Tamandua tetradactyla: one gene and its partners. The main gene of each other region encodes a partner of the protein of the gene in region 4 in a complex. Links are inferred from orthologs where the notes say so. Each region holds a gene or a part of one and is shown on either strand. Other genes may lie near its edges. The genes, in order: ZNF831, RBL2, KRT7 and OGT.

The links.
Region 1: the proteins of OGT (region 4) and ZNF831 are in contact, whole or in part, in a crystal structure (PDB 8FUF), measured with the Homo sapiens proteins. The link is inferred for Tamandua tetradactyla from reciprocal best matches to the Homo sapiens genes OGT and ZNF831. Residues at the interface, in NP_858058.1 of Homo sapiens: Phe723, Ile734, Met779, Ile787, Ile790, Asn791, Arg792, Gly793, Leu808, Ala809, Thr831, Arg832, Ser833, Gln834, Tyr835, Gly836, Leu837, Pro838, Glu839, Arg877; in NP_001371283.1 of Homo sapiens: Phe937, Ser938, Pro939, Lys940, Tyr941, Leu942, Leu943, Arg944, Leu945, Pro946.
Region 2: the proteins of OGT (region 4) and RBL2 are in contact, whole or in part, in a crystal structure (PDB 4XI9), measured with the Homo sapiens proteins. The link is inferred for Tamandua tetradactyla from reciprocal best matches to the Homo sapiens genes OGT and RBL2. Residues at the interface, in NP_858058.1 of Homo sapiens: His506, His508, His509, Asn567, His568, Pro569, Tyr642, Thr643, Lys644, Gln849, Phe878, Val905, Ala906; in NP_001310537.1 of Homo sapiens: Thr417, Pro418, Val419, Ser420, Thr421, Ala422.
Region 3: the proteins of OGT (region 4) and KRT7 are in contact, whole or in part, in a crystal structure (PDB 4XIF), measured with the Homo sapiens proteins. The link is inferred for Tamandua tetradactyla from reciprocal best matches to the Homo sapiens genes OGT and KRT7. Residues at the interface, in NP_858058.1 of Homo sapiens: His506, His508, His509, Asn567, His568, Pro569, Tyr642, Thr643, Lys644, Gln849, Phe878, Val905, Ala906, Pro907; in NP_005547.3 of Homo sapiens: Val9, Phe10, Thr11, Ser12, Arg13, Ser14, Ala15.

Annotation. Positions count from the first base shown.
Region 1 is NC_135327.1:26,110,754-26,118,702, reverse strand, and holds the start of ZNF831 (zinc finger protein 831), read left to right. Parts: upstream 1-4,929; 5' UTR 4,930-5,621; intron 5,622-7,949.
Region 2 is NC_135342.1:47,206,908-47,213,853, forward strand, and holds the start of RBL2 (retinoblastoma-like protein 2), read left to right. Parts: upstream 1-3,946; 5' UTR 3,947-4,087; coding exon 4,088-4,330; intron 4,331-6,946. UniProt on the Homo sapiens protein: Key regulator of entry into cell division. Directly involved in heterochromatin formation by maintaining overall chromatin structure and, in particular, that of constitutive heterochromatin by stabilizing histone methylation.
Region 3 is NC_135333.1:113,582,465-113,589,868, forward strand, and holds the start of KRT7 (keratin, type II cytoskeletal 7), read left to right. Parts: upstream 1-4,386; 5' UTR 4,387-4,447; coding exon 4,448-4,771; intron 4,772-6,283; coding exon 6,284-6,495; intron 6,496-7,404.
Region 4 is NC_135353.1:99,921,931-99,929,223, reverse strand, and holds the start of OGT (UDP-N-acetylglucosamine--peptide N-acetylglucosaminyltransferase 110 kDa subunit), read left to right. Parts: upstream 1-4,288; 5' UTR 4,289-4,513; coding exon 4,514-4,550; intron 4,551-7,293. UniProt on the Homo sapiens protein: Catalyzes the transfer of a single N-acetylglucosamine from UDP-GlcNAc to a serine or threonine residue in cytoplasmic and nuclear proteins resulting in their modification with a beta-linked N-acetylglucosamine (O-GlcNAc).

The DNA of each region.
Region 1 (7,949 bases), on a different chromosome or scaffold from region 4:
GGGTGTGCAGACAGATAATTGCCTGGGGTGCTTGTCCAGTGACATTCCCGGGGGTGGCGGGAGGTAGCACTTTTCAGTATGAGCTGAGAATAGTAGCCATTGGCTCGGAGTCATACACCCATGGAGGGACCCCTATTCTGGGGAGCTCACCAGGCCAAGGTCCTGATGACAAACCCCTTTTGACTACGGAGCCAGCATCCAGGGGTCAGAACGGGGACCCAAACCTAAAGAGAGAATGGGCTTCAGTGAAAGGCAGGGCACTGTCCCCGACAGCCTTTCCCCAGCAGCCTGCATGATGGCACCTGGCATTGAAGCGAGACCCGGGTTTGGAGCCTTTGGCCCCGCCAGGCAGGTCCCACGTAGTCTTCTCTCCGAGCAAGGCCTGGCTTCAGCTCGGTAGATTGAGGGATTTGATTCAGTTAGTCCTGCCTCAGGTGTGGACAAGGGCAGGGGCGTATGTGGCCAGGGCTGTTTGAGGGCGTGGCAGAGGCCTGAGAAATGGGGCTCCACCAGTACACATGACATGGGCTGGGCCACTCAGGGGCAGGATGGAGCAGCGGGACAGGAGAAGGCTGCAAGCCATCCCTCCCATCCGTTCTGAAGAGAAGAGCTGATCCCATGGCTTGACCTGTCTTACATGACCTTGGCTTTTTATGAATTGTGTTCCCACAAAAGACATATTCCCCCAACCCCCAGGACCTCAGAATGAGACCTTATTTGGAAATAGAGTCTTTGATATGTGCCGAATTAAAATGTGGCCAAAGCGGAGTAGGACTGGTGTTTTAGTTTGCTAAAAGCTGCTGGAATGCAATATACCAGAAATGGAATGGCTTTTATAAAGGGGATTTATTAAGTTACACATTTACAATTCTAAGACCAAATTATGGCATTCGGAGAAAGATTCCTTGACTTAAGAAAGCCTGATGTCTGTCTCGTGAGAAGGCATGTGGCCGGCGTCTGCTGGTCCTTGTTCCTGGTTCCATTGCTTCCAGTTTCTGATGCCAGTGGTTTCCTCTCTAGGTGTCTGTGGCCCTTCACTTAGCTCTGCGGGGACCCAACTCTGGGTTCTGTCATGCTTATCATCTCATGGGAAGGCCCATGGTGACATCTGCTGGGCTCTACCTCTCTAAATATCCATGTCTAGGATCTCTGTCTCTCTCCCTCTCTCTCTCCCTCTCCCTCTCCCTCTCCCTCTCCCCCTCTCCCCCTCTCCCCCTCTCCTCCTTTCCCCCCTCCCCCCCCACTCCTAACATCTCCATATATCTGCATCTGTCAGCTCTGAACCAACTGTGTTTCCTCCAAAATGTTCCCTCTTTTAAAGGACTCCAGAAGATGAATGAAGACCCACCTTGAATGGGCAGTCACATCTCCATCTAATCAAAAGGCCACGCCCACAATTGAATGGACCAGTCTTCATGGAAACAATCCAAAGTTTCCACCCTACCATACTGAATCAAGACTAAAGAATGTGGCTTTTCTGGGGTATGCAACAGTTTCAGCGGGCATAGCTGGCCTTTAATCTGTCATGACTGGTATCCTCGCAGAAGGGGAGGTCTGGATGCAGACAGGGGAGAAGGTCCTGTCATGGGCAGAGTTGGAAGCCAAAGATTGCTGGCACCCACCGGAAGCCACAGGAAACTAGGAAGAAGCCAGGGAAGATTCTCCCCTAAGGATTTCAGACAATGAGACAGTGCATGTCTTTGTTTGAAGCCACCGAGTTTGTGGTACTTTGTTAAGATGCATGGTGTGTACAAGAGTATTTTAAAAAAAAAATCACCTGTCTACTCACATTCACTTATTTAACCCACGCTTTTGGGATGGTGACTCTGCCAGGCTCTGTTCTAGGCACTGTCTGGTCCTTTGAAGAGGACCACGGCGGGTGTGGGAGGGAAAAGGCAGGCAGCAGGAAGTGGTGAGAGGGACGGGCCTCCGGAGGAGCCCAGAGAGGCTGCCCCTAGATCAACTCCTGCTTTGACTCATCCAGCCCCTGCACCCTGCTCCCCAGGGCCCCACTTTCCTGCTCAGACCCAACCACGCGCTCAGCCCCGGGAGGATCAGGTGGCCCTGCTCTTAGTTTCAGAAAGGGGTTGTAGTCGCTCGTGCGACTGTGCATTTGGGGACTGGGGAGGGTCCTAGGACCGAAACCCAAAGGCAGCGATCATTCTGTTCTCTCTCTGGCCGTAGCTTCTTGGGGCAGCACTGACCTTGAGTGAGCTGCCCTCCCCACCTGTGTCTCCCTTGTCGCCTCTGGTTTTGCTGGCTAATGTTGTCGTCTCTGGCTTTGCTGGTTTTAATTGCAATGCTCGGGGTTGCTTTGTTGTAAAGCAGACTGCGCTTTGCCAAAGGAGCCTTGCTCTTGGCAAGTGAGTGATTTATCTTTTTTTGTTGTTCCCTTAAGGAGAAAAAAAAAAGAGTGGTCAAAGAAGACAAGTTAAGAATTCTTTGGAAATTATTTTTCTTTTTCTTTGGTGACTATTGCCACGGGCTTAGCGCGTGGGTCACCTGTTGCGTGCTCTCGAGAGTTGTGTGATAAGATGGTGCTTAGAAAAATTAGAAGGGAGGAAATTTGCTTATCTATTATATTGAGACATAATTCACATACCATAGAATTTATCCTTTTCAAGTGTACAAGTCTGTGATTTTTAGTATATTCATAAGGTTGTGCAGCCATCACCACTAACTTTAGAACGTTCTCATTACTCCTAAGAGTGAGTCCCCATTAGTAGTCACACCCCATCTTTCCCCCTCCCTGGCCCCTGGCAACCACTGATCTACTTCCTGTCACTCGACATTTGCCTTTTCTGGACATTTCTTATAAATGGAATCATATAATATGTGGTCTTTCACTTAGCATCTTGCTTTTCAGGTTTATCCATGTTGGAGCATGCATCAGAACTTAATTCTTTTGAATTGTCAACTCCGTTGTATGGATATACCATATTTTATTTATCCATTCATCTGTTGAAATATTTGATTTTAATCCATGCTAAAGTTTTTAAGTAGCTCTGGTGCAGGAAGCTTTTCGTATTAATTTATCTTAATAAAGTGCATGAAGGCAGCAATTTTGGACAAAGGAGGCAGAGTGGAGGCTTTTGGTTTCAGGAAGTGGCAAGCCGCTCTTTCCTGAAGATGTCCTTGGTTAAGTGGGTGAACTGCTGGCCCCGGCGCCCTGCGAGGAGTGGTGCTTGGGGCCTCCCTGTTCAGCCTTCTCCCCACCTCTCCTCCACCATAGCGCTGTACCCCTAAACTTTCCTCCTTAGAAGCTTTTTGGGGTTTTCCCCCAATCCGGGAGGAAGTCTGGTCTCTTCAGCCCCTCTTTCCAGATACCCCCTCTCCCTCCCCAGCTTCCCTGTGGCAGAACACTCCCAGGTCCCTGACACTGCTGGGTTCTTTCAGACCTCCCAGCTTGGCTCGAATTATTTCTTCTGTTCCTCAGACTCTTAGGTAACTTTCAATGCCCAGTGTTGGCATTTCCACTAGGGCTTCCCCAAACCCTCTTCCTCTGGATTCCTATATTGCTTTGTTTATATGCCTGCTATGGCCTGGGGAGATGTTTAAATATTTAACTATAGGTAAGGGGCAGACACCCCTAAAACAGAGTGGGTGCTGGTCTCAGAGCTGGAGCAGGCCCCAGTGTTGGCCACTTCCTCTCTGATTGCTGGGTCATAGGGAGGTCTGCGGTCCCAGAGAGAAGAGCAGGGATCCACGCCAATCTGAGCCACTGGGTTCTTCTAAGGTCCAGCGCAGTTGGGGGCGCACTCTGCCCAGTGAAACGACCCCAAAACCCGACTTAGCTGAAGGCAGGCCACGACCAGCTGGATATTATTGATGGCAGAGTGGGGCACAGACACATCCTCCTCCCAGTGAAAATGAACCCATTTGAGAACACTGGAAAATGGCCTGCAATAGTGAATGCACTCCCGCTCTCTGCACAGCCAGTTTTGCATCTAACCTGTCCTGACCCACAAATTAGTTTCTCTCTGCTAGCTAATATTCTGCACTAGAGAGTTTCCCCCACTCAGCCACCACTACTTAAAATAATTGTATTTTTCAATGAGCTGAAGAGTAATCACCTTACATCTCACCCAGATTGGCTCCTTCCAGAGTCACAGGGAGCAGAGCTGGGACTAGGTGAGGACAGTGCACTTGCCTTGGGTGCAAAACTAAGGGGGCACCCAAAACCGTAGTAATCAAGATAATATGTATTTTTATAAAAAAAAAATTTGGGGGGTAGTTTGGTGGTAAGCACACACCAAAACCACAAAATTTCCCATTTGAACCATTTTTCACTGGGCAGTTCACCAGGATTAATTCTCCTTTTGGTGCTACCATCAGCAGCAGCCATTACCAAAACTTTTTAGTCCTTCAAACAAAGACACTGTTCCCATTAAGCAATAACTCTCCATTCTCCACCTCCCGAGCCCCTGGTGACCCTCTAACCTATTTTCTGTCTCTGTGAATTTGCCTATTCTAGGTATTTGATATAAGTGGAATCTTACAGCATTTGTCCTTATGTGTCTGGCTTATTTCACTCATCATAATGATTTTAAGGTTCATCCCTGCTATATCAGAGCTCCATTTCTTTTCATGGCTGAATGATATTCCATGGTATGGATAGACCGTATTTTGTTTATTCATCTTTCGAGGGACCCTTCCCGTGAGTGTTGGGGTACAAGTATCTGTTTTTTTAATTCTTTGGGGTATATGCCTAGGAGTGGTATTGTCAGGTCATGTGGTAATTCTATGTTTAGCCTCCTCAGGGATGCAATCAAGGTGATATTTTGATGTAATGCTTTAAAAATGAAAATTAATGCAAATAAGCCCATGATGAACAAAACATCAAAAATTTAAATAAAGATAGAATCTCAGAGGACCTTGGCTGGGAGACCCCTACCACCATCAAATGCAATGGACGGACACGTGGACCCTCGGGCACTCCCACGGTTACACGTGGCAACTCTGCAAGTGCTCACTCCAACCACGGAGCCAGGCAAATAGCCACCTGCTCTAATTTTTAATAGCCTGCACAGAACGGCGCATCTCTAAGGCACTGTGTGCACGCCTACGCCTCTGGGCAGCTGCCTCTGTTTATGGGTTGTTAGATCAATAATCACAATTACTGAGCAAGTCTCTGAGCTGTGGCTCTTATTCTTTCCTCTGCTTCTGTTTCTTCCTGTTTTCTGAAGGTTGCTACTGTGCATTAAGTCATGTATAGAAAATAATTTACTTCCTATTTCTGAGCCAGCCCAAGTTTCATCTCTGCTTGAGTCTCCTTCTTGAGGCTGAGAGACATGGTGCTTTTCTCAGTTAAACACAGAGTTGACTCAGAGGCCGAGCAATGGGAGGCCTTCCTCTTTCCTTTTCTGGGTGCATATGCAACATCTGTCCCCTGAGACGCTGCCTGCAGAGTAGGGCCTGGTGGAAGACGCTGAGATGCCTTCTCAGCCCAGGAGCAGGCTCCCCACGGGGCGTGCAAGGAGGAGCCCTGGGGCTCTGTTCTCCTCTGGGTGGCAAGCTCTGTTGTCCCTTTTGGGTGGCTGGATGTCTTCTCAGGCTCACACCAGGTCATTTGCGTTTGAATGGGAACATCTTTGGCTGAAAAGACACCACTCTTCATAAAGGTAGGTAACATGCTCCATGATGGCAGTATATCTCAGTTGCTAGTTAAAAAAAGAAACCAGCTCTTTTATCCCATGGTCTTAATGATATATTTGCCTTCAGACATGCAGTGTGAAAGTAAAAGCTCTGTAAAGCTTGGCATCACCCATTTCAATAGTTCTCTTGTGTGCTTAACACCGCTGTTGTTTTTGTCAAAATATTTACTGCAATTCATAATGACTGTCAGAATCCAGGTCCACACTCCATGTTCTCCTAAACATACAAACAAAACCCATCAGGAAATTTGTTGCTTCATAAACAGGTTTTTAAGATGATAGACCTAATTAAACCGAAGGTGTGACTTGGTTAGAAACATCGATTATTTAGCCCCCAAATTTTGAAAACAAAATATACAGTACAATCTACTATATCAAGAAAGTCTTTGATAGAGATGCTGTTTATGGCAGTTTGCACTGATCGGCTACTCGAAGGTAGCATTTTTCAGTGAGATTTATAGGGGCCAGGGGACCATGTATTTTTCCCCAGAGTTGGCTTCCCAGTATCCAAAATAGCTGCGAGCTGAAGGCTATCGCAGATGAGTGGCAGAGGCCATGTTCTGAGAGGTAATGTGCTTCTCCTTTCCTGTAGCAAATCTTTCTGTAAGAATGAAACAAGAGATGTTATCTGCCCCGCGGCAGTAAGAGACGGGGCGCAACTTAGAAAAATGATAGCATCAGCTCACTGGGAAAAGCAGAGCGAACAGCAGGACCGGCTTAAAATAACGGGCCTTTCACCCTGTCGCTGCAGCTGACAGCGGGTCTCTCTGCTAACAAGGCTGATACTGATGAGGGCACATGTCTCCTCCGCTGCAACCTCATGGCCTGGGTGGGTGAAGATACCCAGAAGCCAGGGAATGAAGATCTGGGAAGTCAGGACAGGGACGGTCAGGGGACGCATCACGGACCTGGACCACCCCAAAGGGCGCAGGTGGCAGTGGCCTGGTTGCCGAGGGGAAACACGGTCACCGTGCAGGGCGGAGGGGCACCTGCAGGGGAGACCTCTGGGGGGCTGGCTGTGCCGAGTCAGTGCCTCGCCCAGAGTGGGCACGCAGCCCTACAGCAGCCACGCTCACATTCGGGGACGGGCGTTCCCCGTCTCAGTCCTCTCCCTCTTGACTTATCTCCTTTTCTATTTTGATGGGTTCATCTTTTCGTCTTGAGATCATGATAGATGCATGTGCTGCTATAAGGAATGATGCAGTGATCTGTGGCACGGTTGCCACCAAGGCCTTGAAGATCACCCTCAGAATATTTTGGCACTGATAGCACTCTTTTCCATGAGGAGCCTTCCTGCCACAGCCCCCCAGCCTCTCCCCTGACTCCTGCCCTCCACCTCCATCCCTCCTGCAGACCATTAAATAAATGGAATCGGGATAGGCTTTTTTCACTCAGCAGAATTCTCTGGAGAGTCATCCAAGTTGTCGCAGATATCGGTAGTTGGCTCCTTTTTATTGCTGCATAGTATTCCACTGAGTGGAATGGGACCACAGTTGGTTTGAGCATTCATTTGTCGAAGGACGTCTGGGCTGAGTGTCGTTGAGGCTGTCACAAGTAGAGCTGCTGTGAACATCCTTGTACAGGCTTTTGTGCAAACATGATTTTGGGATAGATGCCTATGAGTGCAACTGCTGGGTCAAATGGTACATGTGTGTTTAGTTTTGTTTTTGTTTTTTTTAACTGCCAAATTGTTTTCCAGAATGACTGTACTGCTTTACCTTACCACAGACAATGTCTGAGAGAAAGACACAGCTTCTCTGCATCCTCACCAGCATTTGGTGTTATCATTGCTTTTTATTTTAGCCATTTGATAGGTGTGTAGTGGTACTGCATTGGGGTTTTAATTTGTGTTTCTCTGATGGCTAATGATATTTAAAAATATTTTCATGTGCTTATTTCCTATCTGTTGAACCTCTTTGATGAGATGTCTCTTATTTTCTTTTATGCATTTTCTGATTGGATTTTTTGGGGTTTTTTTTACTGTTAAAATTTCATAATTCTTTATATATTCTAGATATGAGTTCTTTGTTGGATTTATGGCTTCCAAATATTTACTCCAAGCCTGTAGTTAGCATTTTCATCCTCTTATCAGGGCTTTCATAAAGCAAACACTTTTAATTTTTATGAGGTCCAGTTAATTCATTTTTTGCATTTATGGCTCATGCTTTTATTGTCAAGTCTAAGAGCTTTGCACCTAGCTCTATCTTGGAAAGTTTCTCCTATCTCTTCCTGAAGTTTTATAGTTTTTCCATTTACATCTAAGCCTGTTTTATGTCTTGAATTAATTTTTGTATA
Region 2 (6,946 bases), on a different chromosome or scaffold from region 4:
GACATTGGAGACCAAAAGAAATATCAATATAATGATTCAGAAGTCATACTCATTTGTTAAATCCTGTCTTCTCTGTTATAATCTTCTTTCTCTCTCTCTCTTTTTTTTTTTTGGTGAAAAATAGCATATATATATATAAAAAGCAATAAATTTCAAAGCACATCACCACAATTAGTTGTAGAATAGATTTGAGAGTTTGGTATGGGTTACAATTCTACAATTTTAGGTTTTATTTCTAGCTGCTCTAAAACAAATATCAATATAATGATTCAGCAGTCAAACTCATTTGTTAAACCTGACCATCTTTGTATAAATCCACCATCACCTTTGATCTTTCTCCCACTCTTTAGCGGTATTAGGGCTATGCCCATTCTAACTTTTTCATGTCGGAAGGGGCTGTTGATATTATGGGATAGAGAGACGGAACTAGTTGATGTTCTGGAGAGGCTGGCCCCTCTGCATTACAGGACTTATCTGGTCCAGGGACCCACCTGGAGGTTGTAGGTTTCTAGGAAGTTACTCTAGCGCATGGAACTTTTGTAGTCTTATAAACACCCTAGGTGTTCTTTAATATTGGCAGAAATGGTTTTGGTTGGAGTTTGGCAAGCTATGCTAGGTAGCAATGTCTAACTGAAACATGACTAAGAGTGACCTCCAGAGTAGGTTCTTGACTCAATTTGAACTCTCTCAGCTGCTGAAACCTTATTTGTTACACTTCTTTTCCCCTTTTGGCCAGGATGGCATTGTTGATCCCACAGAGCCAGAGCCAGACTCAGCCTTGGGAGTCATCTCCCACACCACTAGGGAGACTTTCATTCCTGGATGTCATGTCCCATATTGGGGGGGCGGGGGGCGGACAATGTTTTCACTTGCAGAGTGGGGCTTAGAGAGAGTGAGGCCACATTTGAGCAACAAAAGAGGTCTTCCAGACGTGGCTCTTAGGCATACCTATAGGTAGGCTAAGCTTCTCTGCTACATACAGAAGCTTCACAAGAGCAAGGCTCAAGATCAAGGGCTTGGCCTATTGATTTGGGTGTTCCTAATGTTTGACACAGTATCCGGGGTTTCCCTGGAGGTAAAGTTTAATAGCTTCATATTTTTTTCTCCCATTCCTCAAGGGGCTTTGCCAGTACTTTTTGATTACCTACTTAATATACTCTGGGATGTATCCTGGCATTACATTAAGCTATACAGGATTCAAGACTCTCATTCTTATTCTGGGCTCCCTGTGTGTGGATTGTTTAAATGAGTTATCTGAGCTAGATTATGTGCTACTGAAAATTTAGGTTCTGGACAAAATAAACCTTTCTTCTTTTGGTCTCAAAGAGCAGGTGAAGTTCTAAAATATAGGCAATTTCTTCCTTACCCCTGTATTCTGAATTATCTTAATCACAACCTGATCAGCTTTGTTCTTATCTCTAAAAAACAGGTTATACATATATAAAACAGCCCCTCAATGTCCAGAAATAACAATCACCACTCCAGACTAACTGCTATAAAAGCTTATAATCTAGGCCCCAGTTTTCTTATAACTATTTTCTAAATGAGACCATACGATATTTACTCTTTGGTTTCTTGTTGTGGCCATGTTTTGAACATACAATCTGCAACCAATTCTCTTGAAAATACTGATGTTAAATATTTTTAAACATTTTATTGTGGAATATAACATATATACAAAAAAGCAATAAATTTCAAAGTATACTGTAACAAGTAGTCATTTAATAGATTTCAGGGTTGGTATGGGTTACTGTCCCACAATTTTAGGTTTTTCCTTCTAGCTGCTCCAAGACACCGGAGACTAAAAGAAATATTAATATAATGATTCCACAGTCATACTCATTTGTTAAATCCTATCCTCTATTATAACTCCTTGCGTTAGTTTGCTAGCTGCCAGAATGCGATATACCAGAACTGGAACAGCTTTTACCAAAGGGGAATTTAATAAGTTACAAGTCTACAGTTCTAAGGAAGAGAAAGCGTCCAAATTAAGGCACCAACAAGAGATTACCTTCACTCAAGAAAGGCTGATACTGTTTGGAACAGCTCTGTCAGCTGGGAAGTCACATGGCTGGCGTCTGCTGGTCCCTAGCTCCTGTGCTTTGTCGTTTTCAACCTCTGTTCCTGTGGGGGCTCCTCACTTTGCTTCTCCAGGGCTGGCTCTCATCTCTTGACTTCCCTTGGCTCTCTTTAGGTTCTGACTTGCTTAACATCTCATGGCATTTCCATATCCATGTTTTCTGCCTGTCAACTCTGCTCTGAAGTTTCCGTCTGCTCTGTCATTTCTGACTCTTACGTTTCCTCTTTTAAAGGATTCCAGTACACTAATTAAGACTCACCTGGAATGAGTGGGGTCACATCTCCATTTAATCAAAAGGTCATGTCCACAATTGGGCGTGACACATCTCTGTAGAGATATTCTAATCAAAAGTTTCCAACATACCGGATTAAATGAAACAGCTGCCCCAACAAGACTGAATCAAGATTAAAACATGGCTTTTCTGGGGGAACATAATATTTTCAAACCAGCACACTCCTCCTCTTTTGATCCTTTTCCCAATCTTTAGGGGTATTTGGGTTATGCCCATTCTAACTTTTTCATGTTGGAAAGTGGTGTCAATAGTATGGGATCAGGGGATGGAACTAGTTGATTTTCTTGGAGAGGCTGGCCCCTCTGAGTTTCAGGACTTATCTGGCCTAGGATTCCAATTACAGGTTGTAGGTTTCTGGAAAGTAATTTAGTATGTTCAGAGAACATTTTAACAATTAGTTATAGAACAGATTTCAAAGTTTGGTATAGGTTACAGTTTCACAATTTTAAGTTTTGCTTCTAACTGCTCCAAGACACTGGAGACTAAAAAGAAATATTAATATAACCATATTAAAATAAATCATATTCTAATAAAATACATATGTAATGGGAATAAAGTTTAAATTCTACTAAAAATAGTGAAGTTCATTTTACTTCAATAAACAATTCAAGTTTTACCCCTGGTAAAGTGTGATAATAGTATACAAAATAAGTAAGATCATTATTTTAAAATTTAGTATCTCCATCCTAAATATAAGGAAAGAGAACTTTTACAAACTTCTTTCAAATGCGTGTAAACTGTTTGTGTAGGGCTTCTATTCTTGTCCCAGAGTCACCTTGAAACTGAGCATTGACAAAGCAAATTCAGTCCTAAAAGGGTCACTAATTAATGTGAATTTTACCTCAGGTTTCACAGAGAGGGTTTCATTGTCTCCAAACTGTCCCTAAGGTGTCTTGTTATCTAGCCAAGTCTCCCCTCTCTATCCTCTCTCCTCCCCCTATATCTTCCATAACTCCTTTTTTTTTGTCCCAAGCAGTTTAGTTCTCTACCTCAGTTTACATACCACACTGCGCAAAGCAAAAATAGCAAGACAGCAATTCTTATTTAATACACACACACACACACACACATACGCACACACACACACACACACACACAGCTTTATATAAAGTTAAACCAACTGGGTGGCTGAGAGTAGTACACATATGTGAGTTAGACGGAATGTAAAGTCACCCTATGGAAAAAAAATAATTTCTGCATTAAAAAAAATCCAATAGCTACTTTAAAGGCTCACATAAAATTAAAACATAGGATAAAACTAGAAATTAGGAGCGGAGTGGAGATTTGAATTTAGGCAAATAAGCCCTTGCTGTTATCTTAATTTTTTAGATAAAGAAACCCAGGTTACGAGGAGTTATGATTTCTAGGGACAGCTTGAACATTAAACCTTCATTGTCAACGTTTCTTGGACATTTTCTTTTTCTCTCTGCTAGATGGTCTCGCCGTGGAGAGGCACTTAAAACGCGGAGAAACCCTTTTGCCCAGGGGTGACGACACAAGTTTTTTACGTAATTTTTGGCCCACATAAGCCTCCGGACTGGACTACATTTCCCAGCAGGCCGTGCTCACAACTACTGGAGCCCATAAGAGGTCCCGCGCCGTTGGTAGCAGCGCAGTCGTGGAGAGAGCGACTGACGGGCGGGCGCTTCACGGTTTGAATGGCTCTGGGTCCTGGCCCTCGACTATCCTGAGGACCAGCCGCCCTGGGGTGCGATATGCCGTCTGGAGGCGACGAGTCGCCGCCGCCCCCGCCTCCCCCGCCGGCGGCCGCGGCCTCAGAGGCTGAGGAGGAGGACGACGACGGTGAGGCGGGGGAAGTCGCGCAGCCGGCCGGATCGCCGGCCACTCAGACCCAGCGGCGGTTCGACGAGCTGTGCAGCCGCCTGAACATGGACGAGGCGGCGCGGGCGGAGGCCTGGGACAGCTACCGGAACATGAGCGAGAGCTACACGCTGGAGGTTCGTCTGTGCGAGGAGGCGAGGGGGCTCTCGGGGCCTAGTGGTTGTGTCCCGCTCCGGAGATGGGGCCCCGCCTTCTCACCCCGGACGGGGCGACCCGCAGGGACCCGAGGAGAGGCCCCGGGCGCCCAGCCTGGAGCGGGATGGGAATCCTTTCTGCCCACTGTAGTCTTGGAAATTAGGCTTTTAAAAGTCTCTTAGCGGCTCTGAGGGTGAATCTGGTCTTGCTGCTCTTTCCTCTTGGCTCAGAATGGGAAACACGTCTTGTCCTTAAGTAAAACGGCGAGGCTGAGGTTGTACTGCAGTCACCATTACAGAAATGGGCCTGTGTGGTCGTTTTGCAGCCCTGAGTACCCGATTGGCAGAATGAACATGTGTGGTTGTCAACACTGTACTGAGAAGGGAAGGAAGGGGATTTGCCCAGGTTCGCTCAGCGTTTGATCCGATTTTAGCGCCTTAGGTCTCTAGGCTTCTCCTCCACTTCTTTTCCTGTTGTACCAAATTGCTTTCATTGAGGCATCGAATCGTTTGAATTAATGTATTGTTAAATTTCGTGCCGTGTTTATGTACGGTAGTAAGACTAATCTTCCTTAGGTCAAGTTAAATGAACTTTTTGCCTACCGGGATATAGAAGCACGCCCCCACTAATCACCAGTGAGTCAGAGCTGCGACTGCTCTGAGGATCTTTTTTGGTCACCTCAGACATTGCACAGGACATGTCATGACCCAGGCATGTCATGTCTCTTTCTTCGTATGGGTCGCACAGATGGGAAAAATGGTCATTTAGCCAGTAATCGTCAACTGAGCAGGCGGTCTCCTCTTTTTGGGCCGAATGGAAAGTGGTACGGAAGTCCGGGTGGTTTATCAGCTGTTTCACTGCCCGTGTGTCTGGCGTTTACACATGAGGCCATTTGTTTTTCTTAAGTTGTTTCATATGCGGTTTGTGGAAAGAGTAGGGCAAATAGGCCCAGGGTGTGAAGATCTACGTTATTATTTAACTCGGTTGTGTTTTTGCCTAAAGTGTAATTGCTGACAAAGGTTATTTTTTTAAAAAATTTTATTGCATTAATAGAATTTTATTTCATCTACTACCCCCTCTTCCCCTTTGTTATATCTACCGAAAGATAGAGTAATATACTTGGGGATTTGACAGACCTAGATGACTTGAGACAAAACTGCTACAAAATTCAAATTTGTGATAAATAAACGGTAGTTATTTTTACCTACCTCACAGAGCTTTTCTGAAGGTTAAATAAGGTAATGTGTGTTCCTGGTACATAGTAGGCACTCATATGGACAGTGCTTTAGATCTTACAGAGTTCTTTCATGTACTCAATGATATGGCTGGAAAGACCATGCTTTTCTTTATCTCTCAGTGCTTTCTGTCCTTTGGTCTGGCAAAGAGGACTCCTTTTTTTTTTTTTTTTAATTTGATCAGGGCCTAAGGACCTCCAAGAAGCTCTTATTTTACCCTCAGGATAATCCTGCAAATTAGGTACAGCCAGCATTATCACCATACTGTAGAACTATTCCGATATATAAAGGTTAAGTTTTATGAAGGCCAGCATTATGTAAGTGCATAGCAGATAGGAGGTAAATTATTTTTGAAAACACATTCTATTACTTGAGTTTTTGAAAAGACTCCAGTTTCAGTTTCTTAGCTCAGTTTACCCAGTTAATGCATGAAACTCCATCCATTTATCAAATATTTCTTTGTTTTGTGTACACTGTTTTAGGTACTGAGGATAAAGCAATGAAGAAAACTGGTAAAAATTCCTACTATGGTGGACATTATATTTAGATATGATGTGAGATAACATGGAATGTCATTCTCATGGAGTGTACAAAGGAAAATAAAGCTCACATGATATTTAATACAGAATACTGGTTATAGAGTTGTACTTTTTGATTGCTTGTATTTTCTGAGCTTTATGATTAATTCATTTAATTCTCATTATCCTTAGGTAAGAAAACTGAACCTAAGAAGTTTTCCCAAGGTGTTGTAAATATATGGCAGAACCGGAATTCAAACCCAGATCTACTTGACCCCATAGGTGTATGACCATGAGTTGTTAATTTTGAGAGTGACGCCTTTTTTTGGTGGAGGAGGGGAGTTGTGGGCATCAGGGGCTTTTCAACAAACATTTTTTAGGACCAAAGGGAAACCAGGTACGGAGCCTGCTTTTAACCTGTCTGTAGCCTAGTAGACCTACATTAATTAAGAAATAGGTCCTCAGTCTACTTTGTTCTTTAAGCACTATAAAATTATAATATGTAAGACTAATTTTGTTTCTTCTTTTTGGGAATGATATGGTTGTAAATTCCCTAGAACCAAAATAGACCATTAAAAATCATCTACTGCAAACCTTTCATTAAAACACAGGATAATGCTGTGACTTAATTTTATATTAATAAGATATGTGGATGTAAGAGAGAGAAGTTCAGTTGTAAATTAAATTTTGTTTTGACTTTTTGTTTTGAAATATTTTAAACTTGTACAATAATAAAATAATACAAACCGCATACAAAGAACTCCACCATACCTCATCCTTCTCCCCCAATACCCAGATCCACCAGTTTAAACTTTTTTTTGCCATACTTGTTATATCATTCTGT
Region 3 (7,404 bases), on a different chromosome or scaffold from region 4:
TATTAACAAGATGACACCTGGACTCTGAAGAAAGGCTGCTGGCATCTGGGGTTCCTCTGTCAGCTGGCAAGGCATGTGGCTGGCATCTGCTGATCCTTGATCCCAGTTTATTGCCTTCAGCTTCTGCTTCCAGTGGCTTCCTTTCTGTGTCCTGCAGGTCTTCTCTTAGCATCTCAGGGACATTTCTCTAAGTGTCTGTAGGTCCTCTCTTAGTTTCTCTGGGGCAAACTCTGGATTTCATCTTTTAGCTTCTCTCAGGCTAACCTGTCTATAAGTTCTGGGTCCTTCAGGTTCTGTGGGTCCTAGCTTAGCATCTCCCTGGGCATGTCTGTCTGAACTTTCTCCAAAATGCCTCTCTCTTAAAGGGTTCCAGTAAGTGGATGAAGACCCACCTTGAATGGGTGGGGTCACATCTCCATGCAAACAACCTAATCAAAAGTTCCCACCCAACAATCGGTCTGGCCCCACAAGATTGGATTAAAAGAACATGTCCTGGCTTGTCCTGAAATGGCTGACTATTTTCATGTTTGGTTAACTCCTCACATGGAGCAATATTCTCTGGGGACTCATTTCCCAAAAGCTCAGAGTTTTCTAAACTATCATTTTACTGTTTCTTTGTATCCGAGAGTTCAGTTCTCAGCTTATTCCTTTCCTCTTGCATTTTACTATAAACTGGAAGGAGAAGCCAGGCTGTATTTTCCATATTTAAATTTGGAAATCTCCAGCTCATCACTTTCAAATTCTACCTTCCATCTGACATCAGGACTCAATTTTTCCGAGTTCTCTGCCACTTTGAAGCAAGGGTTGCCTTTCTTCCAGTTTGCAACAACACACCCATTATTTCTGTCTAAGGCCTCATTGTAAGTATCTTTAACGTCAGTATTTCTACCAACAGTCTCTTGAAAGCAATCTAGGCCTTTTTGATCAAGCTCCTCACAATTCTTCCAGAAACTTCCCCTTATGGATTTATAAAGCTGTTCCAGCATGTTTGGAATTTGCAAATTGCAGTACTCCATTTCTCTGGTACCAAGATCTGTTTTGGTTTGCTAAAGCTGCCAGAAAGCAATATACCAGAAGTGGGTTGGCTTTTAATAACGGAATTCATTAATTTACAATTCTAAGGCTGTGAAAATGTACATATTAAGGCATCAACAAACGGATACCTTCTCTGAGGAAAGGCCGCTATCATCCGCTGTCACATGGGAAGGTACATGGCAGTATCTGCTGGTCCTTTTCTCCCAGGGTCAGCTCTGGGTTCAGTGGCTTTCTCTCTCAGCTCCTGTGGGTCCTTTCCTGGTATTGCCCAGGCATGTCTCTCTAAGATCTCTGGGCTTTTACTCATTCGTAGTGTTCACAAAGGACTACAGTAAAGGACTGAGACCCCTCTTAAATGGGCTGGGTCACATCTCAATTGAAATAGCCTAAGCAAAAGGTCCCACGCACAATAGGTCTGCCCCCACAAGAGTGGACTAAAAGAACATGGTCTTTCCTGGGGTACATAACAGATTCAAACCGAGCACACAAGTTTTCACATTCCAAGATGATGAAAAAAAAATCAGTCTTATATATATATATATTTTTAGGAATCAGAGGACATACTTTTATGGGATGGACAACAAAGAATGGTTCTGAAAGTGCAGCAGAGAGCAAAAAAGAATGTCTTCCCCACCTCCCTAGGGGAGGCAGGGCAAGTCTCACCTTGGAGGGCTGTGGGCCTGGTGTCTGAGCAGGTCTCCAGGAAGCAGAGAAGGGCTGAGGAACTGGGGTAGCTTGTTTGTTCATAGCTGGGTTCCAGAGGGCACAGTGGGGGGGGGGGCAGGGAGAGGGAGTGTGCGTGCTTGATGGGGGTGTACAGGATGCCGCAGAGATGGAATATGCCTCTGTGGTAGGACTGCTTGGGAAGAGGCTTTATAGGATTAAATCATCTCACGATTCTGTCCAGAGTCTCATAAGGAGGTTTCTGTGAGGCCCACAGGGGCATGGGCTGGCGATGGGAGACCACACTGGGTGACGCACAGGACAGTGAGCTCCTGTGGGACAGGAACTCGATCTCTGGCCTCTGGGTGCTGATGGTTTCTAGCAAAGCTTTCCAGAGGGTGTTTATGCGTGGCACCTGGTACTAAGCGGGCTCCTAGTGTTGGCCTGTGAACACAGAGACAAGAGAAACTGGCGAGGGCTGAAGCTGCCAGGAATGTTTCCTGGAGGGGATAGAGAGGCCAGGAGCAGACAGAGGGCAGGCCTGGAATGGGGATCTGCTACTTGAGGGGAGGCTGGAGCCTGGACCCAAGAAGTCCAGAGATCCCTTTTCCTTTGCAGTGTTCTCTCACCCAGCTTCCTCTACAAACTCTGCCCCCTTGCAGGTGTTAGGTAAGTGGAAGGGTCCACAGACATATGGAGCCAAGGGTTTTCATTGTTGGGGAAGAAACTGTGTCCAAGGCAGGTAGAGTGACTTGTCCAGGCTTTCAAGGTGGGTCACCAAGAGTTCCCTGGCAAAGATCTCTCCTGGGAGGTTCTAGGGGAGAAGAGGACGGGGGCGGGGTTTGGGTGGGGCATTTCTGGATGGGTGGGGAGCAACTTCCAGAGTGCAGATTCCAGGGGAGGGCTGAAGTGGGGAGAGGGGCAGGTGGCAGAATTGGGCGCACAAATCATGTGGGCTGATATGCAGATGGGATGGGGACGGGAGTGGAGGAGGAGCCCTGAGGGCTAAAGAAGTTGGAATGTGTGTGTGGGTATGTGTGTGTGAATTTAAAAACTGGTTTCCCTTTCTTTCTTGGTGGTCAGGAGGAGGGGGTTGGGATCCCCGTGGCTGCAAATACATCGCAGGGCCAGAAATCTGTATGGTCTTCACGGTACAATTGAGAATTCGAGATCACATCACACACACAAGCACTCACACCTGCAGAAGATGCCACTCAAGGTCTCTGCGGATGTTCCTCTGCCTCTGGGCCAAGCTGTCCCAAAATCAATAGAGGGGGGCAGAGGGAGAGAAGGAATGGGGGCGCATGGGCTTTCAGAGATCACCAAACAGGAGCTGCCGCACAGTCCACTCACTGGAAGTCCTTCTTGTCTAACTGAAATACAAAACAGGAAGGACATTCCATTCCCTACCCTCCTCCTCCTAGGACTCCCTCAAGGGCTTGGTCGGATGTGACCACTGGCCAGCGCATCGGGTGGGGCTAAGGGTGGGTTAAGGTGACAGGCCTGGCAGGTGTCTTTTCCAAAGTTTCCTCTGGGCGCCCCTCAATCTGGGTCTGGGAAGAATAGGGGCAGGGCAGTATAGAGGGTGTGGCATGCGTGGCTCAGAAGCTACTGGGAAGTAAGGCCAGCACTCAGCGTTAACTGTTTCAGCACAATGTTTGCCCCCTTTTGGGCTGGGATTGAAACTTGGGAATTATTTGGTGGTGGTGGCTTCAGGTGGGGGAGGTCCCTCAGATGAGCGACTCTGGGTGGCAGAGCTGGGAGGGAGTGTTTGAGTGCAAATACAGTCATATGCACACAGAGATGCATATGTGTGCAGTTGTGTGTCTGCAGACACCCCCATCACATACACATGCTCACACAGACTCCCGCTCAAGTAAGCAAGCTCACAGACACATGCACACGTATACCTAGGAGTGTAGCACAAGGGAAGCCCAGTGGCCTGCAGGCCAAAGGTGAGTACACACAGAAGTGTACACACATCCTCCAAGTGTCACATATACACACAGGTGTTCCCTTTTTCTATAGGGGCAGATAAGTGGGCAGGGATGTGACCTGGGGGTTGCAGGGGGCATAGGCCCAGGGTAAGCATTCCCATCGTGGACGGGAAGTGGGTGCGTGCTCCATCAGCCTAGAGTCTACGGAGAAGTGAGCTGAGGGGGATGTGACCAGGGGAACCAGCTAGGTTGGCCGGCCACCCTGAGGTCACATTACTCAAGAACTGAGCTGGACTTGTGGGGGTGTGGGGAGGGGCATCTCTGGACACTGACTTTCTGGCTTTCAGTAGCCTGGGGAGCCTGGGCTCTGACTCCAGGCCCTGAAACTTTTGTGTTTACCCTTCCCCATTCTCTCACCACTTGGTCTCTCCCGCCCAAGCCTCCTCGGGGAAGCCTTCCTTGAATGAGCCCGTCTTCGAAGGACTCTGATTGCTGTCTCTCATTGTTCTTAAGAGTGTCTGCCTAAATCCGGGGGGCTGGGGGGTTTATGCCATTGCACGCCCGGGACCCGGCTCGGCTCGGAACGGTTCCTGCTAGAACTGAGAGCCTGACCGGGGTGGGGTGGGTGGCGCGGAGGGCGGAAGCTCGGTCCCAGCAGCGGCCAGGCCGGCAGAGAAAGGTGGCCCGCGGCCAGCCCCGCCCCTACCTGTGTAAGCCGATCCCTCGGTGCCCAGCGGATAAAAGGGGCTGTGTCTCGGAAGGTCAGAGAGTTCGCGCTCGTCCTCAGTTAGATTCACTGCGATCCAGCCACCATGTCCATCCAGTTCAGCTCCCAGGTCTTCAGCTCGCGGTCCGCCTCCTTACCCGGGCGCGGCGCGCAGGTGCGCCTGAGCCCGGGCCGCCCCGTGGGCTTCAGCAGCAGCAGCCTCTTGGGCCTGGGCGTCTCGCGGCCGCGTGGGGCTCTGCACTCCGCCTATGGGGGCCCGGTGGGCGCCGGCATCCGCGAGGTCACGATCAATCAGAGCCTGCTGGCCCCGCTGCGGGTGGACATCGACCCTTCCATCCAGCAGCTGCGCCAGGAGGAGCGCGAGCAGATCAAGGCCCTCAACAACAAGTTCGCTTCCTTCATCGACAAGGTGAGCCCGGCACAGACCCTGCCTGGATCCACACCCCAGGCCACCTCTGCTGCCCTAACCTTGCCAGTACAGGCTAGGAACTGGGACCCCTGGTGCCATTCCCTTTTTGCCAGTATGGGGCTGCTCCACCCACTCTGTCGCTGTGTCCACTTCTGTCTCCAACTCGCTCTCCTCCAGTAAGCTGCCCCAGTCCCCCCTCCATTTCTTCCCAGAAGATGTGCCTGGGTGCTGGCTGGCTGGCTGTGAATCTGTGTGGGTCCTTGGGGCCATTTTTTGTCACCAGTATCAGGCTGGAAGCTCCAGAGCACAGGGCCAGCTGCAGGTCATTTTCCCTGAGAGCAGGGCTGTGTGGAGTCAGGGATGGGGAGACACGCCCTTCTCAGCCGATGAGTCCCTGACATCCCTCCGATGCTGCCGAGACTGAGGCAGATGCTGGAAATAAAGGGCTGGAGAAGGGAGGCTCCAGGTCACACCTCTCCGGCATGTCTTGTCCTTGAGCCTCATCTTGGTGGTAGCTGGTGAGATTAAACCTGCTCTTGGAGATGGCCCAATGGGGGACAGGAAGGGGACACTGAGAGACCCTGGGGAAGGGCCATTTGGGAGGTGCTTTTCCTGGCTGTTTGCACCTGCCCCACACTGGTCCCGCTGGTAGACAGATGTGACTGATGGGTGTGGGAGGACTGGGGGCAAAGTGGGGCTGGACCCAGGCACTTAAAGCTGGCCCCGTTGTGCCCCTCCTGCCAGGACCCCTTCAAGTGGCTTAGCCTAGGCTTTCCTTCTCCTGCCTTTCCCTCTTCTCCTGACCTCACCTATCCTCCAGGTCTCCAACCTTCCCAGGGTGCCCTGACCCCCGTGGGTGGGTGCCCCACCTTTCCTGCTGGTGAGCTGCACTGTTTTACCATCTGCAGCCCTCAGGTTCTCTGCCCCGAATTCCTGGTTTCTCTTGCCTCCCACCCTCAGTCACACTGGGGTTCTGGAAGGGCCTTTTTGGGCCCCAGGGTTGGGCAAATGGTTGGCCACGTAGTAAGTGCCCATTTTACATTGGATTGATGGTAGAGCCCTGTCTTGAGAACTTGTTGGAGGAAAGGGGAGGAGAGAGGGACACAGAAGAAGGTGGACATGAGGCCCCATCAGCCCCAGGACATAGGGATATGAGCGGGGCAGCCCTGCTGAGGAGATAGAGAAGGTCACTTGTAATGCAGTGAGGGGACAAAGGAGGGAGGAGACGCTAAGCACTTTTTTTTTGAGAAACAAGCACCAGGGATATATCAGTAAGTAAGGCAGACCTGGTCCTTTGCTCATACTCTAGGACCCCTAAGACAGAAAATCCTGGAGGAGAGGGTTATTCCGAATGATCTGCCTGAAGGAGAAGGGAGAGAGCTGGGAGCCAAGGTCTGGGGAACAGCCAGTGGGAACCCGGGCCCTCCTGGGTGTCTAGAGGCCACCTCCATCTCTGCTGTAGGGGATACCGTTGAGGCGCCTTGTGAGTCTTCTCCTTTATCTCCTTTCTAGGTGCGGTTCCTGGAGCAGCAGAACAAGCTGCTGGAGACCAAGTGGGCGCTGCTGCAGGAGCAGAAGTTGGCTAAGAGCAGCCACCTCCCGAGTATCTTTGAGGCTCACATCTCTGGCCTGCGGCGGCAGCTGGACACCCTGCAGGCGGACGGGGGCCGCTTGGAGGCGGAGCTGCGGACTATGCAGGATGTGGTGGACAACTTCAAGAATAAGTAAAGGCCCCCAGTGCGACCTGCGGGGATCCCTGTCCCTGGGCAGCGTGCCCCTCATCAGATGACCCCTCTGCCAGTCCCTCCTGGGTCAGGGGTCAGAGGGTATGGGGGCTCAGGACAATGCCTCCCTGAAAGGAAGGTTGTCACATTGTCCTTGGCCTCTTGTCTCCCACCTCTTTGTCTCTGGGAGCTGTTTCCCAGCCATTCTGATCTTTTCTCCTGACTTAGTCCCAGTGAAATATCTCAGCCCAGTCCTGCGTTCCCTTTGGGTGTCTCACGTAAGGCTCTGAGAGAGGGACAGGGAGAAGGTGTCCTAGGACAGGTGTGCTTCAGAACCAGCATGACCCTCACAGATTATTCTAGAACAGCTCCATATTGCTCGGGTGAGGGACTAGGGAACAGAGAGGCTCAGGGACTTGACTGAGGCCACATGGCAAATCAGAGGGAGAGCTGGGCCTTGAATTTTGGGCTCTGGAGACCCAGGAGGAGAAGTGGGGCAGGTTTGGGAAGGAAATAAGCAAAGAGGGAGGGTGATCATTGTGAGCATGGGAGAAGTTGTAGGAAATGAGAAGTGTATCTGGTCAGGACAAGAACCAGAAAGGAGGCCATGAGGTAGGGCAGGGAGTAAAGGGGCCAGAAAGTGTGGGGTTCTAAGGACGGGCCTTGGAAGTGCCCCTGAGGTCTCTTTTCTCATTGTATAGAAACCAAAGCCTGAGGCTTGGGCTGGGCCCCACCCTGCCATACCTGCCTAGTGGGCTCTGGAGGCAGCAAGAAGAGAAAGTTCTGTGCTCTGCCTGGGGGTACATGACTAAGCCGGAGCAGGTACACAGGCTCAGACTGCAGGAGAGCAAACAAGGCCTATGACAGGGTGTGACCCTCCCCCCCAATTCCCTAGGGCAAAAACCAATA
Region 4 (7,293 bases):
ATTAATCATTACCTTTTATGCATCTGCCTTTCAGATCCTGTAGGAAGTAAAAAGCGAAGTTACAAACCAAAAATAAAATAGTACTAGAATTTATATTTACTCATGTTATTACCCTCACTGGAGATCTTTATTTCTTCCTGTGGCTTCAATCTATGGTCCATTATCTTTTCCTTTCAACCTATAGAACTCTTTTAGCATCTTTTGTAGGGCCTGTCTGGTGGTGATGAATTCCCTCAGCTTCTGTTTGTCTGGGAATGAGTTAATCCCTCCTGTTCTAGTTTGCTAGCTGCCAGAATGCAATATACCAGAAACAGAATGGCTTCTAAAAAGAGGAATTTTATAAGTTGTTAGTTTACTGTTCTAAGGCCGAGGTAATGTCCCAATTAAAGCAAGTCTACAGAAATGTCCAATCAAAGACATCCAGAGAAAGACACCTTGGTTCAAGAAGGCCGATGAAGCTCATGGAGAACACAGTCACAGTTTCTCTCTCGGCTGGAAGGGCACATGGTGAGCAAGGCATTATCTGCTAGCTTTCTCTCTGGGCTTCCTGTGTCATGAAGCTCCCTGGGAGGCATTTTCCTTCTTCATCTCCAAAGGCCGCTGGCTTGTGGGCTCTCTGCTTCTCGTGGCTATGTCATTCTGCTCTGCTCTCTCTGACTCTCTTATTCTCCAAAATGCTTCCTCTTTTATAGGACTCCAGTAAACCAATCAAGACCCACTCAAATGGGTGGAGACACATCTCCCCTAATCCAGTTTAACAACCACTCTTGATTAGTTTACATCTCCAGGGAGATGATATAATTACAAACAGTATTGAACAGGGATTTTTCTGCATCTACGAAATGGGATTTTGATTAAAACATGGCTTTTCTAGGGTACATACATCCTTTCAAACCAGCACATCTCTCTTATTTCTGAAAGACAGCTTTGCCAGATACAAAATTCTTGGTTGGCAATATTTTTTGCTTTCAGCACTTTAAACATGTCACCCCACTGCCTTCTTGCCTCCATGGTTTCCAATGAGAAATTTGCACTTAATCTTATTGAGGCTCCCTTGTACCATGACTTGTTGCTTCTCTTTTGTGGCTTTCAAAATACTCTTTTTATCGTTGGCATTCAACAGTTTGATTATAGTATGTCTCAGCAGGGGTTTATCATGTTTAGAATTTGTTGAGCTTTTTGGATGTGTATATTTATGTCTTTTGTTAAATTTGAAGTTTGCAGCTATTACTTCCTGAAATATTCTCATTGTCCCTTTCTCTTTTCTCCCTCTGGGATTTCCACAATGCATAGTTAGTATGCCTGATGGTGCCCCACAGGTTCCTCAGGCTCTGTTTGTTTTTCTTCATTCTTTCTTCCTTCTGCTCCTCAGACTGGATGATTTCCATTGTCTTATCATTAAATTCCCTGATTATTTCTTCTGCCAGCTCCAATCTGTTGAACCCTTCTAGAAATTTTTAAACTTCTGTTATTATGGTCTTCTGCTCTGGATTGATGCGTTTTCATAATTTCCATCTCTATATTGATATTTTTTGTGTTCCCCTATTGCTTTCCTGATTTCCTTTAGTTCCTTGTTCATGTTTGCCTTTAGGTCTTTGAGAATATTTGGGACCATTTTTAAAAAGTTTTTGTCTGGTGTGTCCCAGGTCTGGTCCTCCTCACTGATGGTATCTAATGCTTTAATCTTCTTTACCTGGGCCATTGCTTGCTGTTTCTTTTATGTTTTGTAATCTTTTCTGAAACTTGGACATTTGATATTTTAATGTGTTATCTCTGAAATTTAAACTCTAGGCATCTGCTCCTTCAAATTTTATCCAACTAGTGTTATGACTGAGTTTTCCTTGAATGGCAGGACCTAACAAAAAAAAAAAAGCAGGGGGAGGGGGAAGAAGGAAAAAAAGAAAACACCTTTCCCAGACTTTGCAGATTGACCTGTGCAAGTGCCTTCCTTTGGGGTTTATCTATACAATGGGATGTATGGGAATAGCTGAAGGCTAAAGCATAGGGGCCTTACAGACTCTTTCTGCACCTGTGTCTTGTCTGGGGCATGCACGTATGGCCCTAGGAATTCCCTTGTTTACTGGGTTAGGAATGTCCCCTCTCCCCTATGAAACAGTTTCCTCAGGGTCCGGGACTACATTGTCTGTCCTACAGCCCGTGATCCCTTGCCTCAGGCAGCAGGATTTGACTGTTTTCCCACAGCAATCTGTGGGAGAGCTCTGTGAGCTGCCTTCTACACACAGCGCAAGTTCTGGAGCACTGAGACGCTCAGACCACCACCAGATAGACTGAAACAAAACAGACATGCTCCCAGCATGTGCACCGGGGCGGGCCGCCCTCTCTCTCAAGAACTGGGACTCGGATTCACACTGAGCGAATGGCCCACCAACTCCGCTGCTTAGCCAGTGAGGGGTAGGGGGAGGTTCCAGCCAGGGAAAGAGGATATCCAACCGCTTTTTAAGTGGCCCTTTTCTTGATTCCATGCTTACCCTGTTACTGCATGTTACTACAATCCTTTAACTGATTTCTGGAGCCCTAAGAAAGATGTTTTCATCAGGGGATTTTCTCTAGTGAGCCACTGTGAGCCCCACCTTCCAGTTTTGCATGGTAGCAAAACGTATCATAACATCTTCGGACTCTTCTCTCAGGATAGGGAACTTTAAACCACAAGTATGGATGGGCCAAATGATTGGGAGCATGACCTGGCATTTAACAACAATAAGAGTTTGGCTTAATTGGCTAGCACCCACTAATCAGTAAGGCCTAAACATCTGCCAGTGGAATTTGAGAAGTCTGGTTTAAAAGTTGAAAAGCTGAGTTTATTCACCACATATGGGGCACTGGTAGTGGGAGGGGAAGCACCATCAACAAAAGCCCAATTTCTAGGAGAGTTTGTGCAGTGAACTTTGTCTTTTTTACTGCGTGATGTTACTCTTGATTACGGGATGGAAGAAATTACCAACATTATGATACTTACAGGGCTGAGAATTATTCTCTGTGCTCATATCCATAATTAACAGTTTGTGGACTGTCTGGAAGAAATTGAAGCGTTGCTCAAGGACTTTCTTTCTTTTTTAACGTAGTAGAAACTTTTTGAAGAAATTCACTGACCTGTTTTCTTAGATCAAGGACTAAACAAAATGGCACAGAGACTCAACTTGTTACCTCCAGTGGCTTATAATAGTTTCTTGCTGATAGGAAAAGCTACCTTAAATCCTTTCTAGAACAAACTATGAGGTATAAATGAATACTAATGTTACAAAATATCTAATCAGTGGACTTGAGACTCAGGAGGATTTGTAAGAGCTCATTTGCTTATGGAAGTGGAGGTAATTCAGACTCAAATTACATGTGTGGTGCAGATAAATGGCAAGTGAATTCATTTATCATTTCTGAATTGCATCAAGCGCAATGCAATCACAGATTGTGAGGATTTGCAGACCTATTTTGTGGAAATGAAGTCACAACTCAGAAGAGAGTCAGATTTTGAACGGTAGGAATCATATTTAAGTAGGAATCATATTTAACATTTTATGGCTGCCTTTGGGGTGCGAACTGTAAGGTTGTCCCTGAGTTAATTATCTACCCTATTGCTGTAGGCAGAACTATTCTGAATATCAAAACTATTTGGAAATTTCGGGCTATATAGCCAAAATCTGAGATGTTTGGGTTCATTTGGCCATGCGAATGTATCAGTCTTTTTTCATCAAAACGTTTGAATCAATTGCTGGAGTCAGAATTATGACGTGTTCAAATTGGAAAAGCTTCCCCCAACGTTTTGACGAACAGTTCAATCTTCAAAAATTCAATCACAATTTTATTTGTTTGGAATCGATGCACGACTAGTAATTCTCAGCCTTGTAAGTATTCATTTTCGTATGAATAAAGCTGATGTAAACTTTTTAAGCCTCCTTTGACATTTCTATTAAAATCTACATTATTGGCTAGGTAACAGGTTACACTTGGCACTTTTCACTTTGGCAAAAATGGATGCGCTTTTTAAACCTTCTGCTTCACTATTTAAAAACAAAACGAAACCAAACCAAACGAAACGAACAAAACAAAACTTGGACGCTCCTGCCCTAGACGGTGCCCTAGCCAGCCCGAGTCAGGTTGACAGGGTTGCTCGCATGCGCTGTCGACGCAATCGTGTTTGTCGCAATGGGCCCTGCGCGGAAGGTTACACAATAGCAAGCGACTTTGATTATAGTCATTTTGTCTGTAGCGCTGGTTACCGCGCTACCTCCGCACTGGTACTTGATTGTAACAGAAAGTAGTTCCGGCCCGTGTTGTTTCGGCCGAGGAGCAGTAGCCGCCATTTCAAGACTGTGAGAGGTAGATAGCTAACTATAGTTCCTAAGGTTCGAAGTCTGTAACTGCTGCCGCTGTTTAAGCCTTCCAAAGTACTGGTACTGTTGTTGCCCTCTTACCACTACCTCCAGAAACATTCTTGCTAGTAGCGGCGGCAGCGGGACCCACTTACCCCTCCTCGCCCTCCCCCAAGAAGCTCCAGATGGCGTCTTCCGTGGGCAACGTGGCCGACAGCACAGGTACCAGTGTCCCGTTCTACCTTGGCAGACGCCCCTTCGGGGTCTCGTGCTGTTTCCCCCCTCTCCTCCTTCCCTCCCTTCTAGCCACCCTCGTTGCATCAGTGGTATTGCGTTAGCTTGTCGTGGTCTACCGGCATCTGATGGGTTTTTCCTCCGTCTTCTCCTCCTTAAGCATTTCTTCCTCCTTCCTTTCTCGCTTGTTTTCTGCTTCCTTGTTCCCCTTTTCAATCCCATAAATGTTCTAGCCTTCTACACTCTCGGGACACTTCTCCCACCAGTGCGCTGTAAGGATGTCTCGGAACGGACTGCGTTGGAATCCCTGCCCTTTCACTGTCCTTCCCAACCATTTTCTGCCCTCATTCCAGCTCACCGCTCGCTGCTCTTCCCTCTCCACGGCCCTTTCCAACCCTTTCAAGCCCTTAACCCGATTTGGGTTGTCAGTCTACGGCAGGGGTGCCATTCCGATGTAAACGCATCCCCATTTTGCAGCACCCAAGGACGAGCGAAAGCTCGCCGATGTGCTTACAAGGAACCTCGAGAAAACGGGACCTTGAGTAAGCAGCACCCCGCTGAGGCAGCTGCGCCTTTCTAGTCTGCTTTCGGTCGAGTGGGGGCCCGGTCTGGATTGGAAATTTCCAGGCGTTCTCTGCAATCGCCCAAATCCGCACGCTGCCCCCCCACCCCCACAGCCTGCCTTGCCATCCAGTGCCCCCTCCGCTCCCCTCCCGCAGGGAACCACACCCTTCCCTTCGCGACGTTGCCAGCCCTGCGGTCCAGTTTCTATCCTTGGGGCAGAAACCACCCCGGTGCTATTGCTTTGGTGTTGACCGCACTGCGTTCGGGAATCTCGCTTTGTTGTGACTTTCTCCTTGTATTCCTCCGCCGCCGCCTTCTGGGTCTTCCATCCCCATTCTTTAGCCTCGCATCTCCTTATTCACAGGGTGGATCTCTCTCTCTCTTTTTTTTAATATATATTTTAAGTTTTCATCCCTGCTTGAAGAGTTTGTAAAGCCACTGGAGTGTAGCTGCACAAGTGCCAGGCGGTTGCCCGTTTAGATAATCGAGTCGAGAGCATTTTGTGTTCAAAATTTACAAAACATCCAAATTGTAGGAGTTTCGCTTCGGCTGCCTTTCCCCATAGGGGCTATTTGGGGAGGAGGAAGGAGGAGAGGATTGGGCCGCGGTCCTGATATTTCCCACGAGGTTATTTTTTGATATTTCTCGGTTGATATGTGTAGAGGGTTTTTATTATTTTTGGACATTGGACGGTAAATGATAAATGGATCTTCAATTCCCTGTTATCCATAATTATAGGTAGTGAGATTAATAAATAGTCACTGTTCTACCCCTCCTCCCCACAGTGATTTTTAAAGATAAAAGATTCTGCACTTGCTTGCCTTTTTTTGTGTGTTTTATTTGAGGTAGTCGTCATTTCAAGTGTTAAAGTTAGCAGAGGAGCCACTTGGAAAAGTGATAAAGTAATGCATTAAATTAAGGAGCTAGGAAGGTCTAGAGACTTCTCTAAAATGTAATTTTCTGTGCTCTTGAAGAGAAAGTCTCCCCATTTCGATACAGGTCTCTCTGCTTTTACGTATACATGGTCAGCGGTACATTCTGTCAGGAAATTTACTTTGCTTTCCTTAGTATCCAGAACACACTTTAATGATCGAGAAGTGAGACTCCAATTTGAGTTTGTCTCTGTGTCCTTGGTGGAGTTTAGGTAATTTCCTTAGTTTCCCAATCCAACAATCTATGCATGTTTGTGGGAGTGCTATGGTCAAATTTCCGATAATATATCATCACTGTTTAAATAAGTATTTACAATGAAGACTTAGGCCTTGTTTGTTTTTCTCTCTCTAGGCCTTAACTATATTCTTATCTTTGTACCTAAATTAAGTCACCTGCATACAGCAAAGGCTTTTATTTATTGTTTATTCTGTTGAGCTTTAACAAATGTTATATATTTTAGTATTTTCCCATTTTTTTAAAATTATTATAGTTGTAGGTAACTGCCTGGTTTATATAGAATTGTTTACAATACCTTGATTCTTTAGTCAGTGCCACAGCACTTTGGAAAATGCTAGTGTTAAACCAGTGTGGGTGGGATTTCGCTAACTTAGTATCTTTGTGAGTTTGGGTTGGTAGAGGAGTAATGTAACTCTGGGTCTTTATTTAAAATGTTTATGACCCCTTTAAAATATTTTAGCTCTTGACAGATGGATTTATCTTGTTTATCAGCTATTTTAAAAATAGCACCTGACTTTGAGTTTTTTCCTTTTGCTTCTTTCTAGTGTTGCCCTTGCTTAAAAATATATATATTATGAACTAAACAAACACATCAATATAAAGAGTAAAAACAAAATAAATATCTGAGTCCCCACCTAGGTTAGATGGTTACCAGTTATCCACTCCTTTACGCCTACCAAATCCAACCTAAAACATGATGGAAAGTATTGTTTCTCAGATGGTTGTTCTGACATTACTAAATCTTTATCACCTTTCAAAATCACGTTTTATACTTTGTTTCTATATGTTAACTAAGGTATAAGGAATAATGTTTAGTTACTCTTTAAATGTTACCTACATTTAACATTTATAATGTTATAAATGAGTTTATAATTTAAGAGTACAAAAAATATTTTTGTACTCTTGTTCAAAAAATGTAATATAGTTTGAAAGTAAATATTCCTATCTAGTTTGGGAAAGAAAGTATTAATGGATGAATTCTGAAAATGCCAATTCT